Alligator mississippiensis: one gene and its partner. The protein of the gene in region 1 binds, or shares a complex with, the protein of each later gene. Links are inferred from orthologs where the notes say so. Each region holds a gene or a part of one and is shown in the gene's direction. Other genes may lie near its edges. The genes, in order: PHF2 and VRK1.

The links.
Region 2: the proteins of PHF2 (region 1) and VRK1 are in contact, whole or in part, in a crystal structure (PDB 8F8Y), measured with the Homo sapiens proteins. The link is inferred for Alligator mississippiensis from reciprocal best matches to the Homo sapiens genes PHF2 and VRK1. Residues at the interface, in NP_005383.3 of Homo sapiens: Tyr7, Tyr14, Val16, Thr17, Arg18, Phe19, Met20, Ile21, Glu22, Trp29, Glu39, Ala42, Ile45, Asp46, Tyr48, Lys64, Tyr145, Ser147, Glu150, Lys175, Val178, Asp179, Tyr182, Ser183, Thr184; in NP_003375.1 of Homo sapiens: Pro2, Arg3, Val4, Lys5, Ala6, Ala7, Gln8.

What each region holds. Positions count from the first base shown.
Region 1 is NC_081835.1:26,667,474-26,683,511, forward strand, and holds the start of PHF2 (lysine-specific demethylase PHF2), read left to right. Parts: upstream 1-8,973; 5' UTR 8,974-9,821; coding exon 9,822-9,919; intron 9,920-16,038. UniProt on the Homo sapiens protein: Lysine demethylase that demethylates both histones and non-histone proteins. Enzymatically inactive by itself, and becomes active following phosphorylation by PKA: forms a complex with ARID5B and mediates demethylation of methylated ARID5B.
Region 2 is NC_081825.1:279,888,248-279,904,679, forward strand, and holds the start of VRK1 (serine/threonine-protein kinase VRK1), read left to right. Parts: upstream 1-9,177; 5' UTR 9,178-9,267; exon of another isoform or gene 9,268-9,275; intron 9,276-11,426; exon of another isoform or gene 11,427-11,472; intron 11,473-13,827; 5' UTR 13,828-13,832; coding exon 13,833-13,989; intron 13,990-16,348; coding exon 16,349-16,404; intron 16,405-16,432. UniProt on the Homo sapiens protein: Serine/threonine kinase involved in the regulation of key cellular processes including the cell cycle, nuclear condensation, transcription regulation, and DNA damage response.

The sequences.
Region 1 (16,038 bases):
TTTGTGAAGGAACATCTTGAGAAGCTGGATACCTTCAAGTCAGCCGGCCCTGACAATCTTCACCCCAGGGTACTCAAGGAGCTGGCAAGCATCATAGCCCAGCCTCTAGCGCGGATCTTTGAAAACTCTTGGCGCTCTGGTGTAGTGCCCGAAGACTGGAAGAAGGCCAACGTGGTGCCTATCTTCAAGAAAGGGAGGAAAGTGGATCCGGCTAACTATAGGCCCATCAGCCTGACTTCTATCCTGGGGAAGATCTTAGAAAAGTTTATTAAGGAGGCCATCCTTAATGGACTGGCCGACGCCAACATTTTAAGGGATAGCCAGCACGGGTTTGTTGCGGGTAGGTCTTGCTTGACCAATCTCATTTCCTTCTACGACCAGGTGACCTATCACCTGGACAAGGGAGATGAGATTGATGTCATATATCTTGACTTCAAAAAAGCCTTCGATCTGGTGTCCCATGATCGTCTCTTGGAGAAACTGGCCAATTGTCGCCTTGGGTCCCCCACGATCCACTGGCTGGAAAATTGGCTCCGGGGTCGGACCCAGAGGGTAGTAATTGATGGAAGTCACTCATCGTGGTGTCCTGTGACCAGTGGGGTCCCCCAGGGCTCTGTCCTTGGACCCATACTGTTCAACATCTTCATTAACGATGTGGACACTGGAGTCAGAAGCGGACTGGCCAAGTTCGCCGATGACACCAAACTTTGGGGCAAAGCATCCACACCAGAAGACAGGCGGATGATCCAGGCTGACCTGGACAGGCTCAGCAAGTGGGCGGATGAGAATCTGATGGTGTTCAACGCCGATAAATGCAAGGTTCTCCACCTTGGGAAAAAAAACCCGCAGCATCCTTATAGGCTCGGCAGTGCTATGTTGGTTAGCACTATGGAAGAAAGAGACTTGGGGGTCATCATTGACCACAAGATGAACATGAGCCTGCAATGCGATGCTGCGGCTAGTAAAGCGACCAAAACGCTTGCTTGCATCCATAGATGCTTCTCAAGCAAATCCCGGGACGTCATTCTCCCCCTGTACTCGGCCTTAGTGAGGCCGCAGCTGGAGTACTGCGTCCAGTTTTGGGCTCCACAATTCAAAAAGGATGTGGAGAAGCTTGAGAGAGTCCAGAGAAGAGCCACGCGCATGATCAGAGGTCAGGGAAGCAGACCCTACGATGACAGGCTGAGAGCCCTGGGGCTTTTTAGCCTGGAAAAGCGCAGGCTCAGGGGTGATCTGATGGCCACCTATAAGTTTATCAGGGGTGACCACCAGTATCTGGGGGAACGTTTGTTCCCCAGAGCGCCCCAAGGGATGACGAGGTCGAATGGTCACAAACTACTACAAGATCGTTTCAGGCTGGACATAAGGAAGAATTTCTTTACTGTCCGAGCCCCCAAGGTCTGGAACAGCCTGCCACCGGAGGTTGTTCAAGCGCCTTCATTGAACACCTTCAAGATGAAACGGGATGCTTATCTTGCTGGGATCCTATGACCCCAGCTGACGTCCTGCCCTTTGGGCGGGGGGCTGGACTCGATGATCTTCCGAGGTCCCTTCCAGCCCTAATGTCTATGAAATCTATGAAATCTATGTCCTTTGCTAGTGGGATCTGTTTGTGCCTTGACCATGCTAATTTTTCCCTACATGCTTGGGCACAGTATTCTTATACTCCTGCTTAGTAACATTAGCAAGTTTCCATTTTTTTGTAAGATTCTTTTTATAAGAAGAATTCATGGTTTAACGAAGTATGTTTTTTCCTGCACTTTCTATTTACTTCTCTATTTTGCTTCTTGATGTTTTGGGGCATGGTAATCCTGGGAACATATGGAATTTCAGCCCCAAAGCCTACAGTGCCACTCTGCCCTCAACTGCTAAAGAGCACACACCAACTGCTGCAGCTTCCTTAGCCTGACAAAGGGTTTTTGAACCCGAAAGCTTGCTTAATAACTATTCTCCAACCATTTAGGTTGGTCTAATAAAAGATATCAAATTCACCCAAGGAACCTTGTCTAGTTAAAAAAACAAATTTAGCATGACTTTCTGTGCTGTCCCTGGCCAAGAGTAAAATGTAACAAAGAAATAGAGTATCTGACATTCAGAAGGGAAAATGGGAAAAGATGGGTGGTGCCACCACCAACTCACCCCTCTCAAATTCTTTAAGCCTTGTGACCTGTTTCAAGTTTGATGCACTAGACTGCTTCCTTATTTTTTCCTAAAAGCAGAACCAGATAGAAAAAGGACAAATAAATTAATTCATCAGACTAATGTGAAAACCCACAGAATATGTCAAAAGGGGGTTATAAAAAAAATGAGGATTAATATATACACCAGAACAGGGGTAAACCCTGCATCTAGAAACTGTACTAAAAAATCAGGAAACTCCCAGGTGACAGTTTGTTCTTGTAACAGCCACCTCGGGCTGTGGTTTATCTATGCAGATTGAACCTGGGACTTCAGCTTCTAAAAATAAACCTGCTCAGGCTCAAGGATTTTGGATGGGATTTTCTGAAGTGCCCAAGTAGCCTAGGAAGGCCTAGGCAATGGGACTGTTGGTCCTACATCACTTAAATATATCTGAAAATCCCACTTAGATCCATGAGCTCAAAGACAATTGCAGGTTTATGTAACCTTTGTTTATAAACCTTTACATGTGATGTAGCTACTACAGAGGGATGCAGAGCCATACTGTGTTAGCATGTAAAACCTATTTCTAGTATACGTCTTTCTGTTAGACACCCACAGAGACTTAATTTGGCATGACTATGTTCTGTGGGTATCTGTTGCGATTTATTCTGCCGATTGTGTTTTCAATGCATATGCTTTGCTCCAGAAGTATGAAGAAGTGGTTAACACTCAGATGCACTTTATAATAATTAAGATGTCACACCTGAATGATACCACTCCTTCCACTGAGACTGACAGCAGCCAAACATTCCCTAGATATGGATTCTGGGTTTATGTACAGAACTACTAGATATCCTTTCCATCTGGCTTCTGGCTCCAGACTGAAACTTAGAGGCAGTTAATCCCTAGATAAATGATTCATGGAATGTGTATCCATTTGTGTTGTTTGTTGAAATTCCAGGCAAACATCTCTCAGGTTCTTGCATCACCTGGCTGGAACACTAAGTTCACAGTTTATCTTTGTTGTTGTTGCCAAAGTCCCTTCAGTATTAAATAGGCCTTGCTCACTAGTGGCAGAAGTGGAGATGTGTTGACAGTAGAGTCTTAGGCAGTGCTTTGGAAATGGGGTTGCTTACCCTGAGAAACAGGCGGAAGTGAAATAAAGTAAGTAAGGATAGAATTTTTCACAAATCATATGGGTCTGGCTCAAGCAACTTCCAAAGTATCTGGAAACTGGAACAAAGCATGGAACTTGACATGGTGAACGGCTCATCTGTGAATGCATGTACACAGAATGACAAATAAATATATATTTACATTAAAATAGGGGCTATTGAAATACAGGAGTGAAATCTCAAATGTACATATACTAGTCAATAAACATATGCTAGCAATATGCAAATGGGAAGCCCATGTCTGCAGTCCTATCTTATACCAAATTGCTCTGAAGTTGGTGAGTGTTTCGCCTAAATGTATCTTGCAGCATTGAGGCTCATTAACAGATAAATACAACCCCATGGAGAAGTTACTTCTCCTAAAGCCAACCATCCTCTTTCCTACTGTAGGGTACATTTACAGAATACATTTTAACTGCTGTATACATTTATAGCACCCATTTCATCCAGGTTAGAGGGTGCAGTTCAACGTCTTTGTTACTTTATGGTAGCAACTTTGAAATCTGGGGTGAGACTGAGATGAATGTGGCTCTGTCCACAGAAAATCAAGGTGATCCTGGTAGGCTGAGGAACCCTCTGCGGAATATTGAGTAGATTATATTGGCAGTTCTAACGGAAGGTGAATCCGTTCTTTGCAGAGCACTAGTAGACTAGGTGCTTTTATATCACCACTGACCAGCTCAATCTGCATTTGGTCATAAATTAATGGCCTTGTACCTTGAATGATCCGTGCCTTTTTTGCTCAAGGTTAGCCTGTTGCCCTGAGCTCTACCTGCATTTGCTTTTAATTAATTTTTTTTTTTGGAAATTGAAGCTAGTGCAGAATATGGTGATTCACTTGTTAAATAAGAGCCTTCTGCCATAAGCCATCCTGATTCCAGTTCTGTGATGTGGACTAACTGTTGGTGTACAGGGTTATTTTCAGGTGCATTTGCCTACCTGGGAAGCCTCATATCTCCCTGAGTTTTACTGATGTAGTTAAAATATGCAGAAAGATTTGAGGCGATACCAAATTATTAGAAATGAATTTGAGCTGTGTGGACTGGCTTCTTGCAGAGAGGTTGCTGGTTTGCAGAGAAAGGAGTGGTTGTATTGTTGAACTGTTTTTAAGGATGTCAGGAGTGCCTAGAATCTAGGATAATTGTTCTTTTATATTCTGAAATTAAACCCAGTAAATATAGTACAGAAAGATGTAAACTCTGCATGAATTGAATATATATCTTGGCTGTATCATGCATCATCTGTTGTGGCCTGTCATCATCTGTTGTGGCCATCATGAGATAATAGCCTCCCCTAAAGGACATACAGAGTGGAGAATACTATCATCATCACTTTTCCTTAGTTCCACATTGCTCAAATCAAAACTGAGCACTGGTGAAAAGATTAAATGGAGCAACCCCCATCATCAAACTGAACCAGCTAACTTTTTCTTTTTTATCCGAGTTCTGAAATTAGTAAAAAGGGAGTGTGAGTGCATGAGAGTAGCAGAATGTACATTCCTGGAATAAATAGAAGTGCAATGATGCATGTGGTGACTTAGTGATTTACCCCTTTGTGATAAGGTTAAGTTACAGGAGTTGTCTTTTAATTAGGTGATATTATATTATTCTATATAGATCAGATTAAATGAGAACAAAATAATATTTAATTACAATTCAAATTTAATTTTAAGATTTATTCTAAAATTGTGCCATGCCCTGGATTGCTCAATTAAGTTTTTGAAAGTGAATTGATGCAGCACTTCCTGATAGATTCTGCAAGTGGGCATCATTAGAATTGATGTGAACTGCCCTATTCATTCCACACTCTGAGGCCTAATGATTTCAGTTTAACAGTTAATCTATTTACCACCATTAACTATTTCACATGAAATTGCTTTTTTAACATAAACATCTGGTTACTTTGGCTGGTGAATGGTATTGCTTGGAAAGTATTGCCACATCTCGCACGCATGGGGCTCCTAGTTAAAGCAGTAGAACTACTGACTTGACTCCCTGCAGAGACAGACTGTTTGGCCTACTTACACATTTGGGGCTCAGCCCTTCTCCCATGAGAATCACTAGGGAAACTGCCATTGTCTTCACTGGGAGTGAGCTCAGGCCCATATATTAGAAGAGAACTGCTTCTTGTACATGATCAAATACTTATTTTTCACACACTAACTATCCTGAAATAGTCGCTGTCAGATTTAGTTATTGTGTGTTTCATCAGAAAGTAGATCTCTCACATTTTGTAAAAGCAGGTAGCAGGCTCAAGGGGAAACAAAATGGCAAAAACACCTATGGGCCATGTCCAGACGTGCAGATGTTTGGTTCCCCATGGACAAGAAGCAGTGGCACACCTTGTACCACTGCTACTTGTCCCAAGGGAACGCCCATGTTATGCACCCTTTGGCATGCATCAGGTTACCCTGGGTAGAATAGGGGAGGCTGGGGCCAGCAACTGTGCCTAGGATCTTGGGGGCTGGGGAAGCGGCAGCCATGGCACTCCTACAGCTTGGAGCCTGGCTGACAGCCAGAGCATGGCTCCAGCAGGCCAGGCTCCAGTTTTGAGCACCACATGCTGCAGTCAAGTGTACCACCCTGCTTCTTTTCTGCCCGGTTTTTTTTGACCCCAGGATCTCCCAGGGTCAACCCCCCCCCCCGCTTTCCTGCTTCTTGAGGTTCAAGGTAGCAGCGCAGGAAATGCATGAATGTATGGTGTATTGCCTGTGGATGATCCTTTGACTCCAATGGGAAGATGGACATGCCAACCTTAGCAGTCCCTTGCAAACACACACCACGAGCATCAAGGCGATGATCATCTGACATCAACTTTGCTGGGCTAGCCATATCATCTGGATGTCTGACTCCAAACTCCTGCAGCAAGTTTTATTCTCCCAGCTTAGTCAAGGCATATGACCAACTGGAGAGCAGAGAAAGCACTTCAAGGATGTCCTCCAGGCCAACTTGAAAAAATGCAACATTGACATCAACTTGTGGGGGGCTGTTTCCCAGGATCACCCCAAATGGAGGAAGTATCTGCTGCACGGATCTTAGTACTTTGAAACCTCATGACAACAGCAGGAGACAGAAAAGCGGGACCAGCAGAAACAGTATTGAGGACTGAATCAAGAATACGGAGCCACCTGTTGCACAAGAAAATACATTCCTGAATTCAAGAGAACCTGTTGTTCCTGGATTGACCTTGTCAGCCATCTTCAGACCCACAGATAAGGCAATCATAGAAGGCAATCATCCTCAACTGTGAAGGTTGTTGATGATGATATTTTGCTAAAGCCATTAGGATTAAGGACATTTTTATCTTTCTTTACTAAGATTTGTTCAAGGATAATCCATACTACCTGTCAGTGGAAGGATTCCCTACTTTACATTTTGGCAAGATGTTGAAATGTTTTCCTGGATCTTTTATTTCCACTGCTTTATCTCCTAGACTTGGTCTCCCATATTTCTGGCTGGGGCACTTTAAGCTTTTCTCCTTTTAAGTTTTTAAAGTGCCAATAATTTTTTGTAGTACCCTTGAGTTATCCTACAGGGGGCTTGAATTTTAGGAGAGAGATAATTGGCAGGATGTGAAAAATCAGTCCCCTAAATTTGAGTAACTCAAATTCACCAAGTGCTTGTCAAAATGTAGGCCTATATTAGTCCCCTTGGTAGACTACAACCTTACTAATCTCAGTCTGTAGTGTGTATGGAATGTATAAAGTAAAAGTCATTGTGAAATAGGATTTCTGCTTGTAAGTATTATTTAAAAGGTCAGCTATATCAAATGAAACAAGACAAGTGGATGGCTGGCCATTACAGAGACGTTCATCTCTAATTCTGGTTCAAGTGTAGACCAACATGGTAGTGACTGAAAGTCATTGCTATTGTATGACAGTTTAGCGACCTATATAAAAGAAGTTGGCAGTCTCGCTGTAATCCCTGTGGACAGGTCCCACCAGTAGGAACAACAGTCTTTTTGGTACCTCTACAGAGAGGCCTAAAGCTAGATTTCACTGTACACCTGAATTTCCCTTACATCCCTAAAGGTCATTCTGTACACGTTTTGTACTCCTAAGTGACACCTAGCAAAACATGCCTAGTATCTTACAGCTTTGATTTGGCATTTCCTATGGCACAGTGCATTCACTTCCATTTCTTCAGACCTACTCACTCCATATCTAATGTGTAACATAAGATAGACTTGCTTTGGGAGCTTTAAAGCAAATAATCTATTAAAAGATTCATCAAATAAGAAAATACCTTTTTATATGCTTAAAATATATATATATTAATGCATCTAATGCCCATGTTGCTTAGATCAGTGCTTCTCAAAGTGGTGGTCCGCAGACTGGTGCTGGTCCGCAAGCCACTGGTCCTCGGTCCGCAGAGAATTGCCAGGAAAGAAAGAAATACATTCGCTGGTCTGCAGCGAGTTGCCAGGAAAGAAAGAGAGATATTTTCAGAAGCATAACATTGATATGTCATAGCGCCACAGTTCGTACGTTCCAACACTCCAGGTGACATCACGTCGTGTGAGGTGAGGAAAGAAAGAAACAGCCGGTTGCGCATTTGTGTAGCGCTGTTGCGCACAGTTGTTGCCACCGGCTGAACTGGGCACTGATCCCTGGCCCACTGGAAAAAAAATTGCTGGTCCACCACATCAGATAGTTTGAGAAGCACTGGCTCAGAGCACCCTAATTCTTTACAGCAGCGCCGTGCCTAGACTCCTGGCAGACCTGGGTGAACTTTTAGTATCGGCCCCCCTTTGCCAGCAGTAATGATAATAATAATTTTTAAATTACCATTTTGGGACCCCCTGTTTGTCCAGGCCCATGGCAACCACCCAGTTTGCCCAGGCCTGTGTCCGGCCCTGCTTTAAACCTTTAGTTTATGTTCTTACTGTGTTACTTTAGAGTTTAGCCATCTTTCACAACTATAGAGTTGATTGTTAAGATCTAAACACAAACCTTATTTTATGTTACATTTAAAATGATATGTTTGTGTGTATGCTTATATACATACAGTCACCTATAATTATGATATATTTATATGCGTACCCACATGCGCACACATTTTTGCTTCACTATGAATATATATTCTATTAGAAATCGGTGCTCTTGACCACGCTGGAAAATATTTTTGTAGCTCTGAACAAACGTTGATGACAATTTGGATAAATTAAGCCTGACTTGAGCGGTAAATTACAGCGAACAAGTGACAGGTGATGGTTTAAAAAAAAAAAAGTTTGATCCAGCAACCAGCTCGGGCGTAGGGGCCAGGGTTTGTTGGGAATAACAACACTGCTTTGGGTGTCACATCCGGTTCAAACAGAAACCGACCAGAGGAGACACGTTTTATTGTCGTGTTAGCGAGTAAGCTCGCGGAACAACAAGCAATGCGGAGTGAAAGGAAGCACCCGCGTATCACGACTGAAAGCTTGATTCCCCTTACCCTGCCTGTCAGTTCCGGGCACAGTGAAAAGCGGACCAAAGCCCCCCCGTGCGGGGAGGGGGCAGCACGGGCGCGGGCGAGACCCGAGCCGCCTCGAAAGTTTGCGTCTCCGCGGAGGCGTGCGCCGCCCCGCCGCAGGGCCATTTCCCCGGGAAATATGGACCGGGCCGTGCGGGCCCCTCCCGCTTCCCTCCGCAGGGCGCAGCTCCAGAAACGAGGGCTTTAAAAAAAAGGAAAAAAAAAAAAAAAGGAAAAGAAAAGAAAAGAAACCCCCGTCCCTAAAGCGGTGCGTTTCCCCCATCCGGCCCTTCGCGTCTTTTCCGGAGCCTCCCGCCGTGGGGCTTTGTCAGCCCAGCGCCCTGCCGAGCCCCCGCGCCGGGAGCCGTTAACGGGGACATCCATTTTAAAGCCGCTCTTGCAAAATCTGCGCTGCCGCCGCCGTGGCGGGGCGGGGGAGCCCCCGGGCCCGGAGCTGCTCCCCGCGCCGCTGTTTTAAATCTCCCTCCTCCGCCCCGTGCCGGCTCCCCGCCGCGCCCAGCCCCGCTCCGCTCCGCTCCGCTCCCCACCGCGCGCCCGGGACTCGCTCCGGCTTCGCCTGCCTCTCCGCAGCCCCCCCGGCCCCGGCAGAGGAAATATTACCATGTTGCGAGCTGACGTAAGGACATTACAAGGAAAAGGCTACATTTCGGAGTGTTTATGAAAAGCCTCGGTACTGTACTGTCACCAGGGGGCATGCAATATCATGCGTGCCGCCAAACATTTGGAATAATAATCATTTCACAACAACAACCACCCCCAAAAGAGAGCCCCGGGCCGGCCGGGGCTAGCGGAGGAGCCATGCAGCCAAACTTTGGGAAGCCCTTTCCGATTTTTCTGACATTGCTACCGCTCGCCCTTGAGGAGCCGTAATTGCATTATCTGATCCCCCCCTTCTCTCTGTCTCCCCCCCCCTTCTCCCCTCCCCCGACTCTCCGCGTTGCAAATTTGCTGGCGTTTGGGAAGGAGAAGCCGGCAGCTACCGAGCGGCAGGAGCCGCCGCGAGGCCAGCTCGCCTGCCTGGGAGCCCGGCGTTGTTTTGAAGGGAGCTAACATGGCGACGGTGCCCGTCTATTGCATCTGTCGGCTGCCTTACGACGTAACCCGCTTCATGATTGAATGCGATGCCTGCAAGGACTGGTTTCACGGCAGGTAACACAAAGCGATCGGGCCCTTTTCGCCCCCGCGCCCCCCCGCCCCGTTTCGCCGCGGTCCCCCCGCTCGCTCGGCGCCTTTCGCTGCGTTTCTCTCCAGGGCAGAGCGAGATGGTGGGGCTGGAGCCGCTGCTCCGTGCAGTTTTCCAACAGGCCTTTTTGGAGAGGAGGAGGAGGAGCCACGGCCGCCCGCTCCTCGCCGCTCTCCTTATTTCTCTTTTTCTCCCTTTCTTTTTTTGTGCGCGGCGTTTTGTTTTGTTTTGACAATGTGGCCCCTGCCCCCCGCCCCGACCGCGGCCCCGCGGCGCCGGGCTCGGGTGTCCCCGGGGGGCTATTGTCCTCGGCGGGGCGGGGACGGGGCCGGGGCGCGGTGTCCGGGGCCGGAGAGGCGGCGGCGGGGGCTCCGCAGCCTGTCACCGAGCTGACACCCGGGCCGGTGTCTCGGCTCGCGCTGGCCGCCCCGGCCTGGCCTGGCCTGCGCCGAGCTGGGTGTTTCCCGGCTGACAGGCGCCGAGCGGGGCCGGGCCCGGCAGGGCCATGGCGGGGATCCGGGCTGCGGGCGCCTCGGGGGCGCGGAGCCCGCGCGGGGAAGGGGGAGACCCCGCCGGGGCACTGCGGGCCGGGCTTGTCCCCCCGCGGAGACACCCCCGGCGCGGCGCGGCGCGGCGCGGCGCGGCACGGCACGGCTCGGCGCGGCGGGAGCCCGCCCAGCCTGAGCGCGCTGTAATGGTGGGCGAGGGCGCCGCCGCCGACTCGCCCTTGCACGCACACACACACACACACACACACACGCACACACACTCCAGCCGACTCGCCCTTGCACACACGCACACGCTCCCTCCCTTCCTCCCCGGATGGTTCCCCGCGCTTTCGGGCCGGCCGAGGCGGGCGAGTGCTCCCAGCCGGACCCCAGCGCGCGGCCGGGCCAGCCCAGCCCAGCCCAGCCCAGCCCAGCCCGCAGGCCCGGTTGGCGGCGCGGCCGCTGCCGAGCCCAGCTCCCCAGTACAATGGCTCGCTCCTTTGTCGCGGCGCCGTGTGGCAGCGCGGTCTGTGGCCGCCTCGCCGGCAGCCCCTGCTGTCACCGCGCGGCGCCGGGCTCGCCCGGCCGGAGCCTTTCGGGGGCTCGGGGCCGTTCAGGTGGGAAGAGGCCGAGGCCACACCTGGGCGGCTGGGGCGGGGGAGAGGTGTTGCGGGGGGAGGTCAGCTGGAGCAGACAAAGGGAGGGACTTCTCCTTTTGGCTCCTGCCTCACTAACCCAGTGGTACAGAAAGTGAATGTGGCTGTGCTTTTCCTGTGTCCGCCCTGAACTTGAAGGACAAGGGATTTTTTCTTTGAGAAACAAGGAAGTTAGTTAAAAAACAGTGTGAAGAGAAAGTAGGTTAAGGCAGCAAATAGAGTAACATTCATAGAGTTACCTTGAAGGTTTCTTTAACGTAAACTTGTTAGGGGCCTAGGTTTGCGTGCACCAGTTCAACATACCTCCAAGGCCAGGGAAGCATCTAGTAGTCAAGGGGCCAGTGGCTCGTTAGTTATCAGAACTTTAGTATTTCAAAAAACATTGACTCAAAATATGCTTGTTAAGAGAAAGTGTCTTTGGTAGGTGATAATCAAATCACAAGGAAATCTAAGAAAGGAACAGACCAATGATACACTTACAGGTTTATCCACAATAGTCTATAGAGCCTTCAAGTGTGTCAGTATTGCTACTAGACCACCAGGGTGTAAAGGCAAACATCAAAGAGGAAAAGGAAATGGCAAAGAAGTTTTCTTTGCTTTTGTCCTCATGAAAGAGCATGATGGAGAATTACCTACTTCACAGTGATTTACCTACTTCGTAAGTTGTAAAGGTTAGGCACTGTGAGAGAGAGAAGTATCAAAAAGAAGTGAAATTAAGATCCATTCAATCACCAGGACTAGATGTTATTCATCTGTTAGTTCTAGATGAATTAAAGAACAGAGTTGAGTGACTTATTATAGGTTCATAGGGACATAGGGCTGGACCAGACCTCACAAGATCATCTAGTCCAACCCCCTGCTAAGGCAGGATCATCCCAGCCAAGTGTCTGTCCAGCCTGCTCTTGAAAATTTCCAAGGATAGAGATTCCACAGCCTCTCTCAGGAGCCTGTTCCAGTGCTTGACCACCCTCACAGTCAGAAAGGTCCTCCTCATGTCCAGCCTAAATTCCCCCTGCACAAGCTTGGTCTTAGTCCTGTCCCCTACAGCCACATCTCCATCCGCTCTGTAATTTTCCTTCAGGTATTTGAAGACTGTTATCAAATCCCACCCCTCAGTCTTCATTTCTCCAGACTAAATAACCCTAACTCTTTCAGCCTTTTTTGCAAGTCATGTTTTCCAGGCCTCTAATAATTTTTGTTGCTCTCTGATGGACTCTTTCCAAGTTGTCCACATCCTTCTGAAATGTGGGGACCAAACAGTACTCCAGGTGAGGCCTTGCCAATGTTGAGTAGAGTGGAAGAATAACTTCCTTCAATTTACAAGTGACACTCCTGTTAATGCAACCAACACTACTGTTGGCCTTTTTTGCAACAAGAGCACACTGTTGGGTCATATTCAGCTTATGGTCTTCTGTAAAATCCAGTACTGCAGCCTAGCAGGTCATTCCCCAGACTGTATTTGTGTAAGAGAGACTCACACAGGTGTAAAATCTCAAGAAATTCCACTGACTTCAGTGCAGATGCTTTGGATTTATGTTGGTGTGACAGAGAAGGATTTGGTGCTAAATACCAAGTCTGGAGGTTCTTATGCACTTGTTACTCCATCTTTACTTAGGCAAACTTTGACTGAAATCAGTAAGGAGTTTTTATCAGTAAATACAGTAAAAAATAATTAATGACCTCAGGAGTGGGCCCTAAACATGCACAATTTATCATTAAAAGCAGGTACCAAAGACTTGAAGAACAATTAATGTTGCACCTATACAATGGTACTAAATTAATCTTGCAAATAAAAAGCATACTTCAGTATCAGGAAAAACAGTAGGAAAACCATTTAAAGATTGTTATTAAACTCTATATGACTGCTGCCTGATTAGTGTCCTATAAAGGTGTACTGTATGTTCTGTAAGGCTCTACTGTGAATGGTTTAGAAGAATTCTCACAAAATAGTAGATAAAAGGGATAAGTATGAGCAGGCTAAATGTCTGTTTTTGCTGTCACTGAAGTTCATGGGACCAGACCAGTCCTGAAGTGGAATAATAGAGACTGAGTGGAGATTGTTTATAAGAATTAAAAGGTTTTCAGTAAACTTCCTCACAAGAGGCTGTTTTAGAAACTTGCTGAGAGATGAGAGGTAAAGACTTTAAAAAGTGTTCCAGCAATATGAAGTAAGGCATGTCAATGAATGGCCAGTTCTTGGATTGAAAAACGTTAACGGCAGGGTGTTCTAAGAAAATGCAGTAGGCAAATGCCTAGACTGTTGCATCTATTTATTAAAGATTTGTAAGAGGCATGAGATGGAGATGAAACATATTTAGACAAAACTAAGGAGAATTTAGAGGCACTCAAGGAGCACCTGAAAAACAAGGTTATAAGACAGCATGATGGTAAATTAACAAAAGTGTAAGCTAAGCACACAAGAAAGGACTAGTTACTTTGCCTGTGTTGATGTGTTTTGAAGGCTATGATTCCCTAGGAAATGATATTTGCTCTTCTGTGGAGAGCTCAGGGAAGATATCTGGTCAAATAAGGAGTCCTTGGTTACATTAGAAAGTGATAGAATTTAATAGTAGGTCTATAACAACATCATATAAACTGATTCCATGTCCTAACCTTGAAAACTGTTTTCAGATGTAATGGTCTTAAATAGAAATAGCCTCAAAAGGAAAGGTTCAAAGGTGGTCTGTAAAATAACATGGGGCTGGGAGAAGGATGGGTCTTCTTTAAAAGGAGAGAATAAAAAGACTGTATTTATGCCAGAGGAGAGGAGTATCAGGAATGACAGAACAGAAGAGAGATGGCTTTTCAGAAGTTTCTTGTTGCATTTTTTTATAACCAATAAGTATACAAAAAAATCTATCAAGGCATTCTCATTTCTAAAAGGGAAAGTCTAACTGATTTCTTTAATTCCACAATATCTATTCTGTTGCTGCAGAGATGAGTCAGATAATTTCCTGATTTCTCTAGAAGTCATTACTCCAGAAGTTTTGAAAAACTTTTTGGCTGTCATTTATTGCCATGTCTCAAACTTTCCAATTACAGGAAAGGTTGCATTTCAGTAGGATTCCTTTTATTTCCCATTTTGGTTTTAGGGCAGAGTATAGTAAAGTGACTGCGTTAATACTGTTGGTTGGTAAGCTCCTGATGATGGGTAAAAGTAGTCCATGTTGATTTTGTTAGATGTATGGCTTTGATAACATTGTCAACATTACGTTGCAGATATGTCGGTAGGTTCTGAAAATGGTAGGTGGAATTTTTATTCATTACTTCCATTGTTTCCTTTTGGAGAGATTTCAGAGAGCTGTGTTGGGTAGGTAGGCATTTGCTGTGAGCTCTCTCATATCTGGTTCCATATTTGGATCTTGTGGAAGGCCCTTTGTTTATCAAATGTTCTGAGATATGTGTTGATAGAACCCATATCTAGCAACTTCTTGGAGATGCGGGTTACCAATATGCAGGTGGATTCTCATTAGCTTGTGCCTGAATACTGTAATTTTCTTTGCTCTTCCAGAACAAACTTGTGGAAACAGTCCAGAAATGATAGAGGAGATACCTGTTGGCTATGGAAAACAATGCTCTCAGCTCATAAGGGTTTTGACTGGTCTTTTTATTAATGGAGGATATATGTCCTTTGCCTAAGAGATTCTCTCTCTTGGAATTATTTTCAGTTCTCAAGTGTTTGTGCTTTCCTTGTTAGTAGTGGTAGCTCATGTTGTTTTCTTGCCTGTGGTTAATTAAGCAGTTATAACCTTTCTTTAATATGTCACAGTCACCTCCACATCTCAGTACAAGGGTTGTGGTAGACTCTCCATCACTGGCAATTTTTACTTCAATAATGGACGTTTTCCCAAAAGTTCGTAACAAGACTTACATCAGAGACATCTCGTTGGCATTTGTTACACAGGCTAGTTGATCAGCATGATATGTTCTGATCTTAAACTGTGAATTTATTATAATATGCTCTGTCTGCAGTGATCACTGACAGTCACTTGGAACCTTAAGATACTGGAGAATGTGGTGGTGGATCAACTTGGTGGAGAGGGTGTAGGCAGAACACCGAACACCTGTGCTTTGTGAACTCTGTGCAGGCGCCCCAGCGGCTTCCAGGGTCGACGACAGGTGTTGGTTCTAGTATCTGGAGCTATTCATAATTTGGAACATGTCTACCTTAGGGAAAGTCTTTTTTCCTGCGCTGTTTTGCTGCAGCTGGGATCAGTTAAGGTACTTTTACTGACAAGTTTTAACTACAGATTTCTAAGTTGTGGAAGGAGGCGTAATCACTGGAAAGCATCCAGCTATTAAACTTGCTTATTGGTATTACAATACTTCTAGAGTCATTGCAAAGTCAGTCATGATATCAAGACTCCTTTGAATCAGTTTGTTATTAATAAAAGTAGTATATACATTTATTCTCTCTTTTTTTCTCTGTCTCTATAATATGTAGTACATGTGTATAGACTGATTCTGGGAGCTGGCCGCACTTTAACAAGGACATGGTAAAGCTTGAGAGTCCAGAGAAGGGCCACTTATATGATCAGAGTCTTACATAGCAAGCCATATGAGGAAAGGCTGAGGGACCTGGGACTCTAGCCTGAAAAAGAGAAGGCTGAGGGGGACTTGGTAGTGGCTTACCGCTACATAAGGGCTCGGTGAACAACTGTTCACTAGGGCACCCTTGGAGAAAACTAGGAGTAATGGTCACAAACTCCTTGAAGACTGTTTCAGGCTCAACATTAGGAAAAAACTTCTTCACAACTAGGGTGTCCAGACTGTGGAATGAGCTCCCTCCAGAGATGGTACAATCACCTACCCTGGAAATCTCCAAGAGGAGACTGGACAGTCACCTTGCTGGCATCACTTGACCCCAGCTGTCTTTCCTGCCTGGTGCAGGGGACTGGACCTGATGATGTTCTGAGGTTTCTTCCAGCCCCTTACAATCTA
Region 2 (16,432 bases), on another chromosome or scaffold:
CCACACCAGTATTTTGATGATACAATAATGTCATTCCAACCCATCTTTCTCATTTTTTATTCTCATGCTTTATTTATTTTTAGCTACATTATTGCTTTGGTCTCACCAGTATAAATCACTTTAGGTAATGGAATACCAGTTCATTAGATGCTCTCTGCTTTCCATTATGCTCTGTCCACTGAATTTCTCTACTGAGTGAGAATTGACTGAATTCAGACTATGCCAATCTGACCTGATCTCTTCAGCCCCACAAGAAATCCTTAAGATGAATTTCACTTGCTATTTAAATGAAATGCTCACTCTTTCCATATTATACTTACTAAGCACCTCTTTAAAATATTTTGTAATTTAACATAGCCAGTGCAAGTCAAATGAACAATCAATCCTCACCCATTTCTAAAATCACTTTAAATTGTGAATCTGAATTTATTTTTTGCTGTGCTCTCAGGTATTACTTAAAACCTGAAGAGGTTTTCTCTCAGTACTGATTTTCTGTTCCTATATCATTATTATTATTATTATTATTATTATTATTGCTTTATTCAATGAGAATAGGTGGTGGCCTAAAGGATGACTTTGTTTGACCCATCCCCTTTTGGCCTATCCTGCTCAGGTGACTTTGAGGGATTAAAACTCCTGCCATGGCTCCTGGCACCACCGTGGTGCATAAACCACCCCACCATTTTAAAATGCAGTCCCTAAAGAAAGATTTTACACTTAGATTACTGAATGATAAAAAGTTACAAAAACCTTCCAAAACAATACAAATTTAAGAAGTAAAATCTTAAGACTGCATACATTTTCAACATAGTCAAGAATACAGCCAAAAAAACAAATGTTTGAGAGGTGAGGGGAGAACTATGCCTCTTGGAGTACGCATATGGGGGGAATTACCAATATTTTAAACTTATGTGACGAAAATTGATGCAATGTTTGGTTCTAGTTTTGGAAACTGGCCTTTTCAAGCTATAGACCTCCTAGAGATACTAGAATAAGTACACACCAATGGGATATACATGAAAGATTTGCAGATATTTTTTCCCCAGAATCTTTGAGATCTATCAAATTGACATTTGACTCGTCTGTATCTTTACTCAGTTTTTAGCATTCCTTTCTAGGAAATATTGCTTCAACACCATAATGCAACTATGCTGATTATTTAGTGCACTTCCACAAAAAAAAATCACATGGAAAGACCAAAAAGAAATCTGGATTTTAACTTTAAAACGTTCTACGTTAACTAAATTTGTCTAGTTATTTCTCTCTCGAAAAATGTTTTTTGCATGCGTAATAGTTGGCTATGAAGTCCTTTCTTTCAAGCAGCTCCTAAAACTAAGCTATTAACTGCAGCCAGCATCAAGGCAAAAGTTTTGGTATGTACTACGGGAGCCCCATGGTACCAAGTGCTGAGTCCACAGTAATGTAAAATATTCACCTCAGCTTGCAATACTTACAATATCTGTTCAAGAACAAGAATTTTAGCCCAATGTGGAACAGAAATGACTGGTAGAAGCACAGAACCATTTTACATTTGCAGATTCTGTGCAGACACTAGGAGTATAATAAAAAAATCTAGATGGAGGGAGAGGCAGTAGAGATGCCCTTCTGCCTCTCAGTAGGGTGGATTCCTTCTACAAAGGTATGTGGCTTCTTTATTCTGTCTTTGCTCAAATATTAAGGCCAGCACTGGAACCTTTCTGATTCTTGCAACTGGTCCTTGCGGTCTGCTGTTCTGGAGAATATTTGCTACTTGCCTTGTATTTTGCATGCATTACTGCAGGGAAGTCACTTTGCAGAAAGAGTATACCTTCTACTGCCAGATCTCAGGACATACTTTCTCATGCAAGTCTTTTGCAGTTTTCTGCATCTGAAGTTGGTGACGAGTGTACATTGGTGGAGAGTATACTGCAGGGATACTGTTCCCCTTCTGCAGACCTGGAGGTTTTTCTTTCCCTGCTTTACACCTCAGTTGGTCCACCTACCAATGTATCTATTGGAAAAGGCCATTTCATTTTCATGGGAACCAAAATTGGGTAGACATTCTTTAGTAGCTATAAGATTGCCATCTTAAATATGAAGTGTGTCATTGTATTCATGTTGTGATAGCATATAGAATTTAGAGTCAAGAAATGTAGGTCCTATTTCTAGCCCTACCAGTCTTTCTTTAAAATCTTGGGCAAATCATCTCTAAGCTTTTCAGCTATAAAATGGGAAAATATCTGACTATTCTAGTGGGAATGCTGAAATTTGTAAAGGGCTTTGATGGAGCAGGTGGTGCTAAAGAATTTTCTACAACTTTTTCTTGCAGAAAATTAACTTTTGTTACTTCCTTAGTGAAGAGCATTGGCATGATGAGACGCTGAAATCTGCATTGTTGTTAAAAATTGAATTGTTGTAAATTTCTCCATTTTTGATCATTGTTAACTGTGGGTACATCTACTTGGTGTGGAGAATGATTGCTTGAGCTAGCTTGGGTGCCAGAAGAAATACAGCTGTTTTAGGGCAGAGCTTGATCCAGATTAATATGCCAAGCTCCTCAACTGGGCTAAGGTGGTTATGTTGCTTTTGGTACTCAAATTAACTTGGTGAGGATTAGCTTAGGTATTTCTACATAACTGTGCCTTGTCCTGTGTCTACAGTACCCTATGGTGTTCTTTGCTTTTCAAAAAAAATTTAAATTCAGATATAATCCAATGAAATAATTAGGCTAATTTGCTAGCTCCAGCTAATGAAAGGACATGTGAAAAAACGCTAAATGTGTGGCAGGAACAATTTTGTTTCTAACTAGTTTTTAATACCACTCAGATCCAATAGGATATTATACTGGTCTGTTAATGCATACCTTGGGTGCATCATGAGGCGTGAGGTTATTGGGCAGATTGTCTTAAGTACTCATAAAGTGTATATTAATGGGCCAGGGAAAAAAAAGGCCCTGGAGGGCTCCTTTGCTCTCATCCTATATAATAGTTATTGCAGTTTTAAAAATTAATAAAAAAAGTATTATGTGCATCTCCACCAAGGAAAACTGTGTAAAATGGGAAGGAGAGAAAAATGCCAGATTTTGCTTTGGCATTAATATACCCGACATGTAGGGTCGCATCTTGCACATCATTGGGAGACTAATGGCCTCAAAGTAACATGTTCCAAGAGGGCCCTGAATTGGCACCATGTTCAGTTTGCAAATCTAGATTCACTACTTTAAACTCACCTCTACTACAGTTTCCTCACAAGGCTCTTGGCTCTAAGTTTTTGGCTTCAATTATAGTCCTATAAAATACATAGCCATTTTAATCATGTTACAGCAGCATATCAGTATTTCTTTTACCTTTATGTAGATAATACTGCAACACTCTTGTGAGTAATATAAGACTGTTCCATTGTAGAGGCAGGGAAAGGAAGGCAGAAAGACTAATCAGCTTGTCCAAGTTGGCAGTGTTTTGGTGTTTCTGCTCTCAGTCCTGTTCTTGGACTATAAAACCATGCCTTTTGCATGAGTTTACTCTAATTATTGCAAGATTAAAGATATGCCAAATCTATCATATTAAATGCAAGCAAGCACCTTTGAATTTTTGAGAGTAGGGGAAGGACTGGTATTTGGGAGATGAAATCCTTTAATCTAAACTTAGACATGTGGCTTTGGGGATCTAGTCTGTAGCTGGTTGATGAGCTAGATCTCCACAGAACAGCTTTTCATGGAAAAAACCTAATTCTGAATTTCAATGGCAGTGAATCCATTTTCTAATCTGGATTTGAACCCTGCCTTCTCTGGCATTCACTGCAAATAAAAATGTTGTTTCTATTAGGTGCCAAACATCTGTTCCATTCTCTAATTCAAAGTCCTTTGGCTGAACACTATATTAAGTCCACCTTGTACATATGTATGCATTTAAAATATATACTTAAATTGGTCTTTTTCTCAATTATGTTTATAGGACTCTGGAGAGTCACCAGTATTGCCAGCCAGTTCATAGCCAGCTGGTGCATGGTGCTAGCCCAGGGGTGGGCAAGTACAGCTCATGGATCTGACCTGCAAAGGGATTTCGTCTAGCTCTTGGTGGTGTGTGTGGCTGGTCCTGCTGCTCCCGGTTGGGTAGCAGGGCTGGAGCATTGTGGTGGCTGGACTCCCACTTCCTGGCAACCGCAGTGGCAGCCACTCCTTCCAGCGGCTACAGCTGCTGAACCCAGCTCCACTACCTGGGCATCCTGGCCTGTCCACCCCACCCCCACTGCTGGGGGTGGGACCTGCACGGGCAGGGTGAGCAGCAAGGCGGATGGGATGGGATGGGGCTGCGGGTGGGCAGGGAGTGGTGTCCAGGACCAGGATGGATGGGTGTGCAGGGCTGGGACTGTAGGTTGCTGACAGGTGCAGGGGCAGGGCCTGGGGCAGAGCTGCAATCCTGCCTGCATTTCCCTGTGACAGGCGCTGATTGCATGGGCAGGGGTGTGTGGCGAATGGGTTGCAGCTTTGCCTTGGCCTCGTGCTATCACTGTCCCAAGATCCCAGACTTAGCCCAGCCCACCAGTTCCACTCCCAGACACAGCTCCCCACCCACCTGCGGTCCCATCCTGTCTGCTTGGCTGCATGCCCTGCCTGCACAGGTCCCAGCCAGTCTCCGTTGAGACCCTGGGATCATGGGGCAGCGACAGTGCGGGGCTCCCTGCACGCCCCTGGGGCAAAGCCGCGATCTGTTCCCACATGCCCCTGCACATGGAACTGGCGCTCGTTGCAGGGGTGTGCAGGGAGCGGATCATGGTTCTGCCCTGGGCCCCAGCCCCATGGTGTCACAGCCCCATGATCCCGACTCCACACACCTGTCCCACTTCTGCATGCTGCTCCCACCCCACTCACGGCCCCATTCCAGCTACCTAGCCGAGCGTGGATCAGAGCCACATAAAGAATTTTCATGAGTTGTTGCAGGCAGGGGGGTGGGGGTGGGGGGTGAGGAAGGGGGGTTAGTGCTGACTTGGCTCATGACAGCTTACCAAAGCTCCCTAAGTGGCCCTCAGGCCCAAATAATTGCCCAGACTGAACATTGTGTCTAGGTTAGCTGGATTCTTTTCAGTCATAGCATGGGTGAGACACAACCTCTAAGCCCAATACAAAGCATTTGGGATTCCCTGGGTCCTTTATATACACTGATCAAAACAGTTTAATGTTTACAGCATCCATGTGCTTGTTCTTTTAAAGATCTTTAGGTAACACCATCCATCAATTAGTGTTTCCTTCCTACCAGATAAGAAAACCTGTTGTCTAGGTCATTGATCTTTATTTTGGTGACCTGTAATGGTCTTATCAATTCTCTGACTCTCTGCTAGCCTTGAAAAGTTTCTGTAAAAACTAACAAAGTTACTTCTATGCAAGTTATTTATGGTATGCCTAGTTCTATTCTAATGAGGCCTACTTTGGTTCATACTGTTAGCAGGGCCTCTGTGTGACTCGTATATGCACTAATCAATGGTTGTATTAATCCATACCCCAGCAAGGCCTACATGGCCACATGTATGGGCTCATACATGCATTTGGCTGTACATTTCTTCCAGGATGTGGGATTTTCTTTCAGCATTTTCAATCCTTGTTAACTAATGAAAGACTATGTGAAGAGAGACCAAACTCCCCCCAAAATGTCTAACATTGTTTTTAAACTCTGTTTAAAAAACAAGGTGTGATCAACGTTTTACTGAAGGACTGTTGTTAAATACGTCTCAAACTTTACATATTGACTACATTTGGTCTGTACTTCCTTTCTTTGTGAGAATAAAAGTAACACTGACGATGTATCGGGAGTGGTCCATAAAACTTGTCGCTATTTCAGATATTTGGCTAAAGTATGAAACACTTTCCACTGTAGCCATGGATTGATTAACTTTAAGGAAAGCATTTCAGCTTGGTTGAACCAGAGAGAGATATCCATTAGTGTATGGAAACACCAGACATAAATGATTGTTCTGACCACTCACAGAATCTTATTTGTTGCCTATAATGTTAAGACCTAGAAGCTATTGCTTTGAAGGCAGAACTGATTTTGGCCCCAGGGAAAAATGGGAAATTACTCAGCTCTTATGCTAAAAGAAGTGTGATGATTTTAGGTCAAACTCCTAGGTGGAAGAATATAATTTACTTTTTGTATTTTTGGAAGTACCCTTCAGCTGACTAGGTTTTCACTTAAGTCCTAGTACTCTTGCTCTGGAGCCCCCACTGAATTGTGAATTCTACTTTTCCAGTGTCAAATACCATCCGGTTAAATGGATCTTTACTCTAAAATGTTGAATTCTATTAATTTTTGTGTATATTGTGTAATATCCGTGTTGATGGTGTTAGAGGGTGCAGATAACAAATAATCTGGTGGGACCCACAATGAGCATACTACCTCTATGGGTTCCCTACGAGGGAGACTAATTGCCTTGTTCAAGGTCCCATGGGATGTCAGTGACAGACAGGGAATTGACCCTGGGTCTCCTAAGCATGCAAGCTAGCACTGTTACGATTGGTCCATTCTTATGAATTAGTATCAAGAAATGAAATAAGAGCTATCTTATTTTGGCTATATTTGTTTAAATGAGGTTTAAGATCCCCCTTCCTGGGTACCCAGTTAGTGTATGTTGGTAAGAGCTCTCTAGAGTGTAGTCACTGAAATACTTGTTCATAGAAATGATTTGCAACATTTGCTTCATCTTGAGTTCAAGAAAATAATTTGCATCACCATTTCTTTTCCAGTCCTGATCAGCTGCTTGAGAACGATGCCAGGGGCAAAGCACTAGTGTGCAACATCTTCCACTTTTAACCTTCTTCTGTGTCTTTTCTGTGAGGAGGTAAAGTGGGCCATAAGTTTTGCAATTCAGAATAGTGTAGGTTCTTGAAAAGCAGCAGAAATACATTATATGGATCAGCTTAGGTTTTTAAAGTAAACATGTCTGGGAACAATCATGATGGACATGTTATGTATTGATAGCTCTTAACTTATTTTAATCTTTGCATTTACCCCACCCCCCCTGTGAATGGAGAACATGAAAACAGTGCCCATCAAATCACATCCCTCTGCTTAAGGAACTACTGAGCTGAAAAAACAAAGTAGTTTTCTTCCCCCCTTCCCCCAACTCCTTGGCTTGCCTTGAATTCTGATCTTCCTACTATACATCTCTTCCAAGTTCACAGCTTGGCAGAAGCAAGTGTGGGTGTGTTTTGATTTGTATCTGACAACAAAAGAATGAAATGCAATGATCTCATGACAAGTGGATCAGTGCTCACAGGTGAATCAACACTTAAAGATTTGACTCACACAAAACCAACAACAGGGGAAAAATCTGTTCTGACCCTTCAAAGGCAACAATTTATGAAAAGGGCAGAAAATCCAAACTTAGTTTTTAGTATTTCTCTCTCAAAAATAGCTACCAAACTGTATACATTCTGTAAACCATTTTAATATCATTTGAGATAAAGATTTGAATATTGTGTAGAACTGAAAAAGGGAGACATGACAAACCCAGACTTATATAAGGTTAAGTGAAAAGGTTTCTCTGAGTAGGAAACCCCCAAAATTTACCAGAGTGATTTTTTTTATTTTAAATTTCTACAGGGGTTATATAAAATTCCTGTAACTATAGAACAGCAGAAAGTAAAAAATATATACGTTGCTCGGTTATTTTGCTTTCAGTTACTGAAGAAATTAATCCATATGCAAGTACAGAGCCTAGTGGTAGGATGTCAAGTGAGCAGGCTGTTTGGCCTGGTATAGATGAAGGCTGCGCGAGGGACATAACTGCCATTATGGATATTGTGAACAGTCAAAGTTCACTCACATCTTGCCCACAAAGCCCTGTGACTCTACCATGTATTGCTTCTTGCCCTGAAGTCTGGACAGGAGCTAGTCAGGGCTCAGTGCTGCAGCTGGCAGGGTGCTGGTCCTCTCAGCAAATTCCACCAGTTGAATTTAAAATCATAGAAAATTAGGGTTGGAAGGGACCCCAGCAGGTCATCTAATCCAATTGCCTGCTCAAAGCAGCACCATCCTCAACTAGATCATCCCAGCCAAGGCTTTGTCAGCATGGGTCTTAAAAACCTCCAAGGACGAAGAGTCCACAATGTCTCTGGGTGACCTCTTCTAGTGCTTTACTACTCTCCTCATGAGAGTTTTTTTCCCCAATATCTAACCTAAACTCCCCTTGCTGCAACTTGAGACCACTGCTCCTTGTCCTGTCATCTGCCACCACTGAGAACAGTCTAACTCAGGCAGGGCCGTATTATCCCTTTAGTGGGTCAGAGGCAAACCAACTCGTACACCCCAGGCTGGTTGAGACCCACCTCCCCGCTCCCTGCTGGGGGGGGGCTGCCCCCCGGCCCAGAGTATCCAACCAGTTGGGAAATTTGGTGTCAGGGGAGACAGCAAGCCATACTGCCAGCCCCACTCCCTCCCTGCTCGGATCAGAGCCAGGCCAAGCTCTTTCCACATGGCTGGATGGGGCCCCTCTGCAACCGCCCTGGCTGCTGGATTGGGACCCACGGCGGGCACTGCCCATCCATCCCACCGGCCAAGACGGTGGGGCACCACGGGCCTCGCTCCATTCTCCATAGAAAGGGTGGCTGCAAACTTGACTGCCAGGCAACCGTGACTGGAGTCTGCGGAGGTCCCTGGGCCCCAAGCAGGGGTCTCCCCTCAAGTCCCTTTTACTTTTTCCTTCTATCTCCTGAGCGCCCGCCTGCCAGGTGGGGGCGGGGCTGGTCTGGGTGCCAGGCTCTGCTGTGCGGTGCGTGCAGCGCACTAAAGCAGGAACCCTCGCACAGCCGTGTCCCCGGGCACAGCCCGGCTCGTGGCCTCTGCTGCAAGAGCAGTGGGAGGCCGGCGCAGAGCGCGGCGGGCTCCTGCCTATGGCAGTGTCTGCATTCCGTGGGGAGCGCAGCGCACCGAGCCCAAACGCCCCGGACCACCGCAGCGACTCGACTGACCCGGGCTCCAGAGGCCCAGCGCAGCGAGGCCCGCAGGCCGCCTCCCATTGGCTGCCGCCAGCCCGGCGGGTGTTTGCACACGGCCCCCCAGCGAGCCTCACCGCTGCGCCAACGCGCTTCGGAACGACCGGAAACTACCGCTTCCAGCGTGCACTGGGGCCGCGGACGGTGGCCGGCGGGAAGCGCCGCGTGCTGGTAGGCGGGGGCCGGCGGGAGGCAGCCAATGGCAGAGGGCAACGGAGTGGGGGGGCGCGGCTCGGCGGGCGGGCGGCGCAGGGCGCGCGCAGTGCGGGAATTTCGGACGACGCGGGCGGAGTCGCCGGGAGGTACCGCGGTGCGCACGGGCCGGGCTGCCCGTGGTGTGACTGACTGACTGACGGGCGGGCGGCGGGGCTGGCCTGGCCCTCGCCTGCCAGGGGGCTGCGCGCGGGGGATGGGGGATGGGGGAAGGGCTCGATGGCTGTGGAAGGCGCGGAGCCGGTTTCGGCCCGGCTGGGGGCCTCTAGTCCAAGCCCTGCTCGGAGCGGGATCGCCCCGCCTGCGCCTGCCTGCTCCGATGAATGGCCCTTCCCCGCGAGGGAGCGGCCGTGGCCGTGTCCAAGTGGCCCAGGCTTTTTCTGTGGCGCGATTAAAATATTTTGTAGGTCACCATTTGGGCGTCGCCCTTTTTAGCTCCGTTGCAGGTATCGAGGGACGGGGATGTCTCAAGGCCCCGGGGGGGGAGGCAGCTGCCAACCGGTTCACCGTCAGCATTAACAACATCCCAGGTGGCCTGAGGGAAAGCCAAAAAGTGTCTTGTAAAATTTAGATTGTTTATCTCTGTGATAACCAGGGATCCTGGTTTAAAAAAAAAAAAATCCCCAATTTTTTATTTAAAAAAAAAAAAAGTAACCCCAAATCCACATTTTTCTGTAATTAAAATGAAACACCACAATATGTATATGTCTCCGTATTAGCGGTGTTTCATTTAAATCATGGAACAATGTGGACTTGGGGTTACTTTTTGAAAATTAAAATTGCAGGATTTTTTTTTTAAATTGGAGAAACCCAGGATCCCTGGTGATAACTCTGTGTTGACACTGGAAATATCTAGGATGGTGTAGCTGTGCTGGCACCTCTTTCTTTAAAATGGGCAAAATTACATCTATTTTGGGAAATGGCAGCGGGGAATAAAAGGAAGTCATGCCAAACATGAGAAACGGGTCTAAAGTTTCTAGAAACTTTTTTTCTTTTTTGTTTGTGTGTGTGCGCACGTGTGTGAACGTGCACACGCGCGCGTTTGCGATCAGACTTGAAGATTTCTGCTTTGATTTTATGAACAATATTGATGACGTGTGGATTCCTGGTCTTGCTGGGACTGTCTATTCACTAAAAGGATAGCAGGTCAGCAGCATGGTCTTGTCTGCTGAAAACTGAAAGAAGTCCAACTGAGATAAACAAGCCTAAAATAGCAATTTGTAGAGGATAAAAGAACCAGATCAGGGAGAAATTCAACATCCTGAGTTGTCGCCCGGGGGAAAAATATCTCCTTAAAATAAATTTGATTTATATTCATTTTAGACTATTGAGAAAGGAAGAAAACACCAATTGGGAATTGTCTACTGGAGTTCGCTTTGAGAGCAAAAAAGTAGCAGCAAGAATGCCAATCCAGGCTTCATTTATAAAGATAACTTCACTAATAGCACTATTGATACTGAATTGCCTGCATACGTCAAAATAGCACACTCAATACTTCTTTTCTTCATGTACGCTAAAGAAGAGGGTTTGAGAAGGCTGGACTAAACAAATCATGATTCCTGCTGTAATTTGTTCATATTTGTTAGGTGCAAAGTCTATGCTTCTCAAGCTATTCAAGGCCAGAGCAGGTCACCGCCATATTAATGCTGCTGTTTACAATGATATACCTTGAAAATATGTTCTTGTCTAGTCACATAACTAAGGAGGGACAAGTATCTCTGGTACTTAAGATAACCAAGGATTTCAATGCTTTTTGCAATCACTAATGAATTAGCCCTCACTATCCCTCTGAGACAGGCAGTACTTCCATTTATTGATCATGGAGACAAAGAAAGGTGAAAGTGAACCTTAAATGAAACGAAGATAAATGGTTGCATTTCCCAACATGCTGTGCTTTTGCCATAAGGCCTCTTTTCCCTTGAGGTGGGAGATATGATAAACTAACACAACCACTGATGCTGCAGAAGGTGGTGCAGACCAATTCAGCAGGTGATGCTGAGTCTGTGCTAAATTTATGATGCAGTCTGGTATTACATTGTTTGGATGAGAGCGAGCTCTGATATCCTCAACTGAGCACCTGTTGTTCAAGAGGTACAGTTAATGCTGGCATCATGGTGACTCTAGCTCAAGTAATTTATCTTCAGTTATTTCTAAATCTCCCAACATAGTTTCATTTTGTTGTCATCTTTGCTTTCTGCCCTAAAATGCTATTGGCATTGTATTGTAATATATCTGTGGTATTTTTCAGGAGGCGAATGAGTTCTGCATCCAAGTTTGTAAACCATTTTATGATGGTATGGGCTGACAGTCATTTTTTAAATATAAAGATATTGGTGGTTAGTAGGAATAAGCAAGTTGAGTAGTAGAAGTTGAGTAGTAGTTGTTCTCATGTAAGGAGCTTTAAATGTGGAGAGCTTAGGCCAATGATCCATCTTATTTGGTAGACTTGCTGGTCTCTAGGTAGAAAGTGTTATAGAATAACAAAACTAGAAATAAAAAGGTCTTTCCCTTCCTGCTGTGTTTAACATGTTTTTCATACCTTCTTCATTCTTTTTACATTGCACTTATTCTTGTATAACTGCATGCAATCCCCAAATCTTCCTGTTTTTAGTACCATAAAGGATTCTTGCATTTTCCGATACAAAATGAGCCACTGCATCCACAGAGGACAGTTATTTTGCAACATTTCAACATGCTTACTTTTCTGCACACTGCCCATTTAAAATTATCTTTGCTTGGCTTCTGTGGCCTAGTGATAGGTTGACCAACCTATGAGTAGGCATGGTGCCATCCTAGCAGCGGGTGTGAGCATGGGCATCCCAGAAACTATGAATGAATATCTTGTTTATTTAAGGGCAGGATTCCCAAGTGTCGATATTCACTGTCCATCCTTAGCTTTCACTTCCGTGGCTTAAGGGGATGTTAATCAGAAATTCAGTTCTTTACAGTCTATTTAGGTATGTGACTGAGAGTATGGTGGACAAGTAAAACTGGAGGTAGGGGAACCACTCTTCACCTGTCATTCTCATGGAGCTAATCAAAATAAACTGCTTTGTCCCCTCCAAACAGGCTTGTCAGCAGCAGAATTATGATGAGATTACCAAGATGAAATACATCCATAATATTCCATGAATGAAGCTAATATGTATATATGATATATAATGTTATATATCATATATGATATATACATTTTACCAGTTTGTAGAAAGCGGTCAAAGAAGTTGTCATTGTCCCAGGAGAAAATGTGCCAGTATTAGTCTATAAAGTATTTTCTTAAGTTGAGAATGTAATTGTAGGTAAGCACAATAGCTCTATGTGCCTGGGGCAGCTCGTTCTGTCATTCAGACTGGCCATGCTATTTTTGAGATTAAGTTTGGGCAGAAAGCACAAGTTCTGTTTTTCTACAATTAAAAATATGGAGGGAAAATTTGAATCTAATGAAGAGAGAAACTGAAGTATTAAGAGACAGCATTTACAAGGATCATTTGAAAATTATGGATAACATGTTGTTTCTGTTTTAAGATGAGTAAAGAGACTCAGCTGTCCAGTTATATCTGAAACAAAATTTTGTTTTATGAGAATCTTGGAGAGCAGTTTAGAGTTAAATCATTGCATTTCATGAATTCTAGACAGTTTCAGATCCTATAGTTTTGTGCAGTAATACCTAACAACCTTTTTAGAAGTAATTTAGAGATTAAATACCCCTGTTTCCTTCCTCAACGTGACTACTACATACTTTCATCTGTGCTGGACATGGTTTACATGTTCTATGGATATTCAAATGTGGCTCTACTATCTAAAATTACACATGTAGGAACTATCTTTTGCCTTTCCTTCCAGGAGAGTTCTTTAGGCCTTAGCAAGGCAGAAGAGCTGTCTTAGGGGAAAAGAAGCATTTTGATATTCAGAAAAGGGATCTGCGGACTGGGGAAAAGTACCTGGAGATGATGGGGAGAGATGGACAGAATCCTCTAAGAACATTGCAGCTCTGTTGTTTCTGGATTATTTTAAATATCCTCTGAAACAATAAGTGGACTTTCATATTTGTTGAACATAATTGTGAGAGAACACTTCTCTGACATTTTTAACTGTGGTGACAGGTATTTGATCTTTTGTGAAATTGTTATTAGAAACTAAACTGCTGAGATAATGGTCAATGAGAAATACGAGGGAGTGCATTCTTTTGTGGAACAGTTGAGATTCCATTTTTTTAAATACTTAAGCTGTATTAAAAATTAGTGAATTCAACAGTTTTACTTGTAAGGAAACCAATATAGGTAAAATATTTTTCATATAGTTGGATCACAATGCATTATCATGTGAATAGCTGTAATTCTGTAGCATGTATCAAATTATGCAAAACCTTCAAATAAAAAAAAATCTCTTCTACAAAATTGCTTTCATTAGAGCCATTTTTCCTGATTCTTGAAGAAATTGCTTGTTTTTTCACCTAGAATCCATGCTGACAGGATTACTTTGAGAAATTCATAAAGAATTTTTGTAGTAACAATTTGGCAGTTTAAACAACTCATAGTTACTATGTGGAAGTCTGTCATGAGGAAAAGAAAGTATAAAAACCGGCATATGGAGTAGAATAAAAGTGTGAAAGTAAATCTGCTCAGTGTATAACCCTGTATTACTTTTTGTAGTGAAAATGCCTTATATAAAGAAGACATCTGGAAAAAGAGCTCCTGCGAAGAGGAAGCTTGCAGAAGAATTTGCTCCAGGAGAGGTGTTAACAGATACATCAAAAAAAGAGTGGAAATTAGGCATGCATATAGGGCAAGGTGGCTTTGGACGTTTATATCTTGGTAAGCTTGTGTGTACTAAACAGAGCATTTTAAAGTTGAGGGTCCTTAAAGCCTCCTCCCCTTCATCCTTTCCCCACCCCAACAATTCCTAGTTTAGGAAGGCTATGTATGTCAGCTGCAGCATAATATTTTTATTTCTTGCAAAAGGGAGAAGTGTAGGTAAAATGAGAATATTAGAAGACATTGAGGCATAGTTAGGAGTATGTGATATGGAAACCCCTCAAGTCTTAGTCTAATTCAGTGGTTCTTGACCTTTTCAAATTTGAGTAAGCCCTTAGTACAGAGGTTCCCAACCCCCGGGTCATGAAGGGTTGGCTGCCGGTCCACAGGAGGGTTGGCTGCTGGATTGGAAGTCTGGAAGTGACCGACATACTGCGGACCAGTAGCCAACCCTTTTTTATACTTCCGGTCCGCAGTTTGCTGGTCTATGGTTTCCCAGTCCGCAGTCTAAAAAGGTTGGGAACCACTGCCTTAGTAAGTTCAAAGCACCCATTGATAGGCCCTTCAGAAAATGCCAGCTTTTAGTTTTCACTTGTTTTTTTGATTATATAAAATGATACGGCAATTCTTCTGTTGCAAAGAACTCAGAAAAGAACACAACAGGTCTGAATGTTTTTAACACTATGGATTGCTATTTCAAATCTCTGGATTCCTTTCGTGTGGCATATTTATACAGCTTACAGTATGCATCACCCCTAAAAGGATATCAAGACACACCAGGGGACTGTGGCATCCAGTCACTGGTTTAACCTCAGCTAATTCATGTGACAGATTAGCTATAATCTTTACTGGTAACGTTCTTCATATATAACCCATTTTGTTCCTTTATAATATCACTTAAATGTTTGTGGACAGGCTTCTATTTTCTTACTTAATTACTTCTTAGGGAGCATTTCTGAAGTAATTCTAGTGGTTGTTGATGATGCCAGATTGATGGCATGGGCACAGCAATTCAAACATAACTATGCTGTCTTGCCAGTGTCTCAACCCTTACTTTAGCAGACCTATCTATGGATAGTTCAGTCTCCATGGTAATTTGATGTTTGTTCTGTCTTATGCTGGTATTTTTTTGTTAAGAGGATACTTAGCTCATAAATACAAAATTTAAGATTGTCAGCTCACTTCGTGCAAGCCACTGACCAGTTAACAGAGCTTTCTGCTTTAGCTGGGATGACTTGCATCTGAACTGCTGCCCATAGGTCATGTTGATTATTGTATGATCAGTTTACTGAGCCATCTGTAGATATCTGAGCATTTTTCTGTGCGGGTATTGTCACAAAATTCACTTTATAATGATACTTGAACTTCCAGGGAAAAGTTTGAATTTTTTTTTCTTATATCTAGCACCATTTCCAAAATGTATTCTGCATAGATGGCATAGAAGTGAGGTCCTCACAGAACCCTGGGGATTCCTGCTGAGGGCACCATGTTATGATTCTGTTCTTCCAATGAACGTTGAATGGTTAAAATTTTAAGATGAAGATAGTGATAAGGCTCTTGTACTATGTGGTGCATTAGATATGTGATAAGATGTTTCCCTTCCACTTGTGATACAATTGCACTGAATTCTGTAATTTCATATAGTAGTTCATGGGTTACAAAATCATTTATTGATCTAAGATGCTAGTAAAATGATCGGGCACCAATATAAGGTGACAGCGTTCTTCTGAGAAGACTTGGTCAAGAGAACTGGCAAATTTGATCGTGGCTAGAGAAGCCTGGCTTTGCTGCATGGTTTTGACTAAGCTCCTAATGTTTATTAAAGGTGGCATTCTCCTTGTGTTAGACAGTTACCCACATTATTAGTTGCTTTTTTATATAAGCCCAACCATGTCATGTTCCAGACATTGTTTAATCTCGTTCTCTACTTGTACAGAAGCACGTCCTTATGTATCTGTTATTCCTAAACTGTCCATTGTGGTATTCCATCACTCAGTAAATCTACTTCTATGGAAATTATGAAGTGGCAGCTGGGATAGCAAATAGCTGGAAGAGAAGAAAAAGACTGTTTTTGGTTATTATGGCATCTAGACAAAATAAGTACTTGATAGCTTCTTGCAAGTTGTATACCCATATTGTGTTTTTCTATCTGTCTTTAAATGAGTAACTACTATTTAATAAGAGCATTCCATTATCATTTTGCAATAAGCTTCTCCCTCCCGCCCTGGCAAGAGAGAACTCACAACCAGAAATTTAAGTTGGTTAAATCTGATACAGTTCTTCTGCCTAGATTCTGAAAATTATTCATGCTAATGTATAATTACTTTGTGGCATAGCTAAACAAATGACATAGCAAGTAGAAGCTTTGTTTTTGATGGTTGTCTCTCATCCTACTGATGAACACTTCATATTTTAACAGCTGATGTTAATTCTTCAAAATCGGTTGGCAGTGATGCATCTTATGTTGTAAAAGTGGTAAGAGAAAACTTGAATCTTTATTTCA